Linked DNA regions of Tribolium castaneum. The protein of the gene in region 1 interacts with the protein of each later gene in a pairwise test. Links are inferred from orthologs where the notes say so. Each region holds a gene or a part of one and is shown on either strand. Other genes may lie near its edges. The genes, in order: Galphao and RapGAP1.

The links.
Region 2: the proteins of Galphao (region 1) and RapGAP1 interact in a two-hybrid assay, tested with the Caenorhabditis elegans proteins (2 studies listed by BioGRID). The link is inferred for Tribolium castaneum from reciprocal best matches to the Caenorhabditis elegans genes goa-1 and F53A10.2.

The regions. Positions count from the first base shown.
Region 1 is NC_087396.1:19,006,346-19,010,175, forward strand, and holds part of Galphao (guanine nucleotide-binding protein G(o) subunit alpha), read left to right. Parts: intron 1-1,513; coding exon 1,514-1,674; intron 1,675-1,730; coding exon 1,731-1,859; intron 1,860-2,180; coding exon 2,181-2,310; intron 2,311-3,830. UniProt on the Caenorhabditis elegans protein: Guanine nucleotide-binding proteins (G proteins) are involved as modulators or transducers in various transmembrane signaling systems. In the 1-cell embryo, probably together with gpa-16, controls nuclear rotation and spindle elongation during mitosis.
Region 2 is NC_087399.1:7,382,797-7,386,626, reverse strand, and holds part of RapGAP1 (rap1 GTPase-activating protein 1), read left to right. Parts: intron 1-2,952; coding exon 2,953-3,653; intron 3,654-3,830.

The DNA.
Region 1 (3,830 bases):
TATAATAGTCATTATTTGACGGAACATTTTACGAAAATTTTTGGGTTGGCAAGAAGCAAAATCGGGACCGTATTTTTGTGAATTTCACAAATTTGATAAAACAAAAATTTTAAATCAATTTTTCACTTTAAAAATTGAGATATTACCAACAATCACAAAAATCCCTAAATCGACTAAAATAACAATTTTTGTTTAAAAACGGCAAAAAGGGGTCAAATTACAAATAATAGTATAAAAAACTCGTTTCATAAGACCTTAGAGCACTTATTCTTTCAAAAACTGAATTCGTGCTTTGGTCTTATGAAACTAGTTTTTTAATATACTATTATTTAACTAGTTTGAGTGTAAATCGGACGTTTTATTTCACGAATGAATTATCAAACCACGAGTCAAAATGAGTGGTTTATCATCTACGAGATGAAATGAGTGAACCGATTTACAAGAAAAAGAGTCGAATACGACATTTTATTCTTCGAATTAGACTCAACAAGGCTTAAAATTGCTTTAAATCTGTTAAAATATTCTGACGTTTCGTGTCGAGAAATGCCAAACAGTTATCAAAACTGTTTTACACAGGAGAAAAACCGGAAATTTTGACAGTATCGATGAATAAATAATTTATAACAGCTAATTTTGAGAGAAAATGCGACGTTGGCGTTTTTATAGCTTTGAAACAGCTAATATTTTGTTTTTACGGAAAGGAAAGCAAAATTATCAGCAGAACTTATCGTTTATTCAATGAGAAATGTTTCTTTGTTAAACTCTACAAAAATATCTGTGGCTAGTAAGGAATTTCCGACATTGTCAAAAGTCAAAGTAAATAAATCAACATAACTTGAAAATTGTCATAAATGGATATTAATAGATATCTGAAGTAGTAAAATAAAAATTGAGGCATTCCATTTGAAAAAATTGCCTTATAGCTTGTTGAAGTTGTGCAAAAATAACATTAAAATTTTGGAGTTCGTAAACTTTTTTTCTAATTTTGAACACACTGAAGGAAAGATATAGGCTTTCTGTTTTGATTTTTCGAAAACGTTTTTTAAAATTCTAAAAATAGCAGAATTGACGATTTTTTAAGTGAAAGGTGCAAAAACAAAAATTTACAAAGATTTTTAAATATTTCGAAAAACGCTAAATTTAGTTATTGGAAAATCTGACGAAAGTAAAAAACATATCTTTAAAATAAGAAAGTTAATACGGACTTCCAACGGCTTAGGGTGTGCACCAATTTTCAGATTTATATAATTATCAGAACTTTCTGTACTTCTAATGTACGGTTCAGACGGAACAGTCTGTATAGTAACAAACAAATCTGTGTTACTAACTTCGTTTACTGGAGTATTATAGCAAGCTTTTTTTTGTTTCGGGTTAATGTTAAACGAGACCACTTGCGGATTAAGTCAAAGTTTATTTTAAAGTGCACGTTCATTCACCGTAGCCAAAAAGGGCAGGCTTCAATGACCTTGTTACCTGTTGCTGATCGAATATAAAATGTGAATTTCGCCAACAGATCGATGGTAAAATGGTTTTCGACGTTATCCAAAGGATGGAAGACACGGAACCTTTTTCCGAAGAACTCCTCGCCGCCATGAAGCGGTTATGGGCTGATTCGGGGGTTCAAGAATGTTTCGGTCGTTCCAACGAATACCAACTGAACGATTCCGCTAAATAGTAAGCAAAAATCGACCATTCAGGGTAAGGTATTACCCACGACGTTTTTTTTCCAGTTTCCTGGACGATCTGGACCGATTAGGTGCCAAAGACTATCAACCTACGGAACAGGACATCCTCCGCACAAGAGTCAAAACGACGGGGATCGTCGAAGTGCATTTCTCGTTTAAAAACCTCAATTTCAAGTGAGTTTGTTGGCGATTTTTAATAAACACGAAAGTAAATGAAAAAAGTTTTTCCTTGTGTTTCTATTAATAAAGAGCTGAAAGAGCGAAGCCTATTTTATAAGTTGTCGTGGGTTTTCCCACGTAAAAACAACCGTTTGCAAAAGTTTCCATTGCACAAAGTCTTTTGAAATATTAAATGGCTACGTTTTTAGCATCTGCTGCAGCAACTCATTTCCAGAGCCTCTTTCATTGTGACTCACGGAATTAAATGTGCTTGAATTCAAAGAACCTTTTATGTGTCGCAGTGAAGTAAATACATCGTGTAATTTACTTTTACAGATTATTCGATGTGGGTGGTCAGAGGTCAGAAAGAAAGAAGTGGATTCACTGTTTCGAAGACGTGACGGCAATTATTTTCTGCGTAGCGATGAGCGAATATGATCAAGTCCTGCACGAGGATGAAACGACAGTGAGTATTCACAGAAAAAAGTTTTGGCGCCCTTATTTAATAAATAAAATAAATAAACACTATCTAATGTCACTCCAAAAAAGAAGCAAGTGGGTTATCAGAAAAGTTTGTAGTTTTAGTAACAAAGTACCAAAACTAAACGTTTCAAGGAAAATAACAAATAAAATTTATAACCACAATTTAAAAAAATCAAATTTTTACGTATACAACTTTGCTGATAAGTTCTTTAAACAATAATTTTTAGTAAAATTAGAACATATTGTAGATGTCTGTACTAAACAAACTAATATCTGTGCTAATTTTCCAAATTATGAAAAAAATGGGTCCCAAATTAAATAAAAAAGTTGAATATAATCCATTTTTTTTAAATCGCCAGCAGCGTCATAAAGAAAAATTCTACACCGGCTGCCGTTGTTTAAAAATTACCCTGTATTTGTGTTCTGAACTCAGTTTAGTAAATTCACCAATTAATTTTGCAGTGTCTCTTTTATCTTTTTTTTTTCATTTTTTGTTGATTCACTGTTTATCTTTCTTCTCACATCACAATTATATATTTTGAAATATATTTTCAACTAATTCACTATGCGCGCAAAAATAAATAGTACTTGCTTTTACCTAACAACGAATTTTTATAAGCAGGTGAAATTAAAATGCGCGAAACCCTGTAGTTGCGGAACCAAATTTTATTTAGTAATTAAAAACTTTAGGTGTAAATGAAAGTTTCATATTGTATAAGTAGGTACTAAGTAGTTTGATTTTTTTGTGTTTTTTAGTGATTACTAAGAGAGGACACAAAAACCTTTCGTCGCATTTTATTAAATGACGAATTTTGGATTGCAATGCAAAAGACTACATTTTGGATTGGCGAAGATTTTTGCAGAAGTTTTTGATTTAAAGTTCATTTAGGGTCGGTTTATAGAAAGTTTTGTTAAAATTTAATTCGCTGTTAAAAGTTAACAACACGAATGGACCAATCAAATTTGTTCAATTTGGTCACATGATCAATTAATCACGCATTTATTTGCAGATTAAATTAATGGCGCTTTTATAAACTAACCATAAGTGTCAGAAGTTAGTAAGCGTTTTCAAAGTTGCAAAATGAGATTTGCAATTTGAACAACGATAATTGCTGAATGGTTTATTTAATGAGGGGAACTGACAACGGTTTTTTTATAGACCGACATGTGAAACAGTTCTAGTAATTTTAAAAAAGATATTAAAATGATAATAGAATTTCGGTTTTTGTTTTATTTTGAAAAAAATGCCATTAAACAAATTAAAGTGTATTACACAAAAATACAGACTAGGTACCGACAGCAATTTTAGAAAATGTTGAATGTGAAAGCATTAGTCATATGAAGACCATCCTCGAAATATATAATACTTATAGATTTCTTTATCATTTTTCAATTTTTAATAAAAAAGAGTGACGAAAATGCAGACAAATCATAGACAAATTAAATAAGAATGTCTTGTTGCACAGCATTTGATGAAGAAACTGAAAATGTATTACTGTGCTA
Region 2 (3,830 bases), on another chromosome or scaffold:
CCATCGCACTTTCACTATTCGTGGGTGTGTTCTCCTATATTATCTCTTTAAACCCGTCATTGTCTACGTCCAAGTTAACAACTTGCCGTTCCCGCCCCAACAAATCCATCATTTGGTAAAAAACGCTGAGCGTTTTCACACCCAATCCCAATTATAAATTTCCACGGGGGTGTCGCAGCATCGCGACTTGACAAGAAACCGCGTCATTGTTCCTCATAATTCTACCAACAATAGACTCACAATAATAAGAACTAGGCGTGGGCGCGAAAGTCTCTCGGAAAAATAACAACGGCAAGAGGCGCCCAACCTCAAGCACAAGTTTTATCACAAGACTACGGAGGGCTGTGGGTTAGGAGGCGAAACGGGACACAAAATCGCACAATTTTCCGTACCCAAAAATATTAAATTAAATAATTACTCGGAAAAAGGTACAGAAAATTACACGAGAAACATGAGAAAAAATATTTACTTCAAATTTGCGCTTTATTCTATACAGGGTGATTCTTTTATGGCCTACATTAGAAACTTTTTAATTTCTAATAAAACTAGGGCTTTAAAATTTTGTATACGATCCAAATCTATCATTCCGAGTTCAATTAAATTATTTTCAAAATGGCTGAGCTTCAGGAACTACTAAAAATTTATTTACCAAAAAAAAATTCATAACTCAAAAACTAAAAGTCGTAGAGCAATGCGGTTTGTTCCATTGAATTCAGCGGCTCATTTTGCGTATAAAACCATTTTTTAACAAGATGTAAACTTTTAAAGTTTTTTTGCTAAAAATGAAGATAGGCAATATCTATAGTGAAAAATTTTATTTACGAAAAAAAATTCATAACTTAAAAACTAAAAGTCGTAGAGCAATGCGGTTTGTTCCATTGAATTCAGCGGCTCATTTTGCGTATTAAACCATTTTTTAACAAGATGTAAACTTTTAAAGTTTTTTTGCTAAAAATGAAGATAGGCAATATCTATAGTGAAAAATTTTATTTACGAAAAAAAATTCATAACTTAAAAACTAAAAGTCGTAGAGCAATGCGGTTTGTTCCATTGAATTCAGCGGCTCATCTGCGTATAAAACCATTTTTTAACAAGATGTAAACTTTTAAAGTTTTTTTGCTAAAAATGAAGATAGGCAATATCTATAGTGAAAAATTTTATTTACCAAAAAAATTCATAACCCAAAAACTAAAAATCGAAGAGCAATGCGGTTTGTTCCATTGAATTCAGCGGCTCATTTTGCGTATAAAACCATCTATTAACAGGATGTAAACTTTTAAAGTTTTTTGTTAAAAATTAAGATAGGCAATATCTATAGCGAAAAATTTTATTTACCAAAAAAAAATTCATAACTCAAAAACTAAAAGTCGTAGAGCAATACGGTTTGTTCCATTGAATTCAGCGGCTCATTTTGCGTATAAAACCGTTTTTTAACAAGATGTAAACTTTTAAAGTTTTTTGCTAAAAATTAAGATAGGCAATATCTATAGTGAAAAATTTTATTTACCAAAAAAAATTCATAACTCAAAAAATAAAAGTCGTAGAGCAATGCGGTTTGTTCCATTGAATTCAGCGGCTCATTTTGTGTATAAAACCATTTTTTAACAAGATGTAAACTTTTAAAGTTTTTTGCTAAAAATTAAGATAGGCAATATCTATCTATAATGAAAAATTTTATTTACCAAAAAAAATTCATAACTCAAAAACTAAAAGTCGTAGAGCAATGCGGTTTGTTCCATTGAATTCAGCGGCTCATTTTGCGTATAAAACCATTTTTTAACAAGATGTAAACTTTTAAAGTTTTTTGCTAAAAATTGAGATAGGCAATATGTATAGTGAAAAATTTTATTTACCAAAAAAAATTCATAACTTAAAAACTAAAAGTCATAGAACAATGCGGTTTGTTTCATTGAATTCAGCGGCTCATTTTGCGTATAAAACCGTCTTTTAACAAGATGTAAACTTTTAAAGTTTTTTGCTAAAAATTAAGATAGGCAATATCTATAGTGAAAAATTTTATTTACCAAAAAAATTCATAACTCAAAAACTAAAAATCGAAGAGCAATGCGGTTTGTTCCATTGAATTCAGCGGCTCATTTTGCGTATAAAACCATCTTTTAACAAGATGTAAACTTTTAAAGTTTTTTGCTAAAAATTGAGATAGGCAATATCTATAGTGAAAAATTTTATTTAAAAAAAAAATTCATAACTCAAAAACTAAAAGTCATAGAACAATGCGGTTTGTTTCATTGAATTCAGCGGCTCATTTTGCGTATAAAAACCGTCTTTTAACAAGATGTAAACTTTTAAAGTTTTTTGCTAAAAATTAAGATAGGCAATATCTATAATGAAAAATTTTATTTACCAAAAAATTCATAACTCCAAAACTAAAAATCGAAGAGCAATGCGGTTTGTTCCATTGAATTCAGCGGCTCATTTTGCGTATAAAACCATTTTTTAACAAGATGTAAACGTTTAAAGTTTTTTGCTAAAAATTAAGATAGGCAATATCTATAACGAAAAATTTTATTTACCAAAAAAAATTCATAACTCAAAAACTAAAAGTCGTAGAGCAATGCGGTTTGTTCCATTGAATTCAGCGGCTCATTTTGCGTATAAAACCATCTTTAAAAATATGGAGCAGTGACCAAATTGGTAAAAGTTTGAAATTTTTTTAAACATAGTTTACGATATTTATTATATTTATGTCTTCCTATCGAGAATTTAATACTCTATCTGCCTGTATTTTTTGTTTGTTATGTGTTAACCGTTATACAAATACAACTATTTCTTCTGAAAAATTAGGCGGTAATGCAACAATTGCGCTCTCTGGCGTAATTACCGTAACTATTGAGGACGGGGACGTTTTAATTGGACGCCGTTTCGTATCCTAACCTTTAGTAACCCGTACACTAGCCGTAATAAAATTTTTCAATTGTCCAAAAATTCCAGGAGCACACATCCCTGATCGGCAACGACGAGACCTTGGGCCCTGTCCTCCTGTCGATAAAAACCGAGAACGTGGCCAACCAGGAGCACACCCGGATCCTCCTCCGGATGCGCACCGGGACCATGCACGAGATCGTGCCCTCCTCCTGTCTCGGCGACAGCCCCAGCCCGGCCCGCATGGCGAAACTCCTCAACGAACAGCTCAACATCGACAACTTCGTCCCGGTGTTGCACCCGAAAGCTTCCCAACTCATCGCCAACTACGACGAGCATGTCCTCGTTACGAACTTCAAATTCGGCGTCATGTACCAGAAGTTCGGGCAGACGACGGAAGAGGAGCTGTTCTGTAATAACATCACCAGTCCCGCCTTTGACGATTTCCTTGCGCTGCTCGGGCAGAGGATACAGCTCAAGGATCACAAGGGATACAGAGGCGGCCTGGACATCCAGAACGGGCACACGGGGGATCAAGCGGTTTACGAAGTGTTCAAAGACCGCGAAATCATGTTTCATGTCTCCACCTTGCTGCCCTACACGGAAAGCGACCCCCAACAGTTGCAGCGGAAGAGGCACATAGGCAACGACATCGTGGCGATCGTTTTCCAAGAGGAGAACACGCCCTTTTCGCCAGATATGATAGCGTCGCACTTCTTGCACGCGTTCATCGTAGTGCAGGTGGTCGAGCCCAACACGCCCAACACAAGGTAAGCACACTTATTTTCAATTTTTTTGCAAAAATCGCGAAAAACAACATTTTTTGGTCCTTCGAGCCGGATCCTTAGTATTAGTTAGAATGTCTGGTAACCATTGATTTGAACCCTTTAAATGTGACGTTTTTATTCGTTTGTTCGCAAAAATCTCGAAAAACAACATTTTTTGGT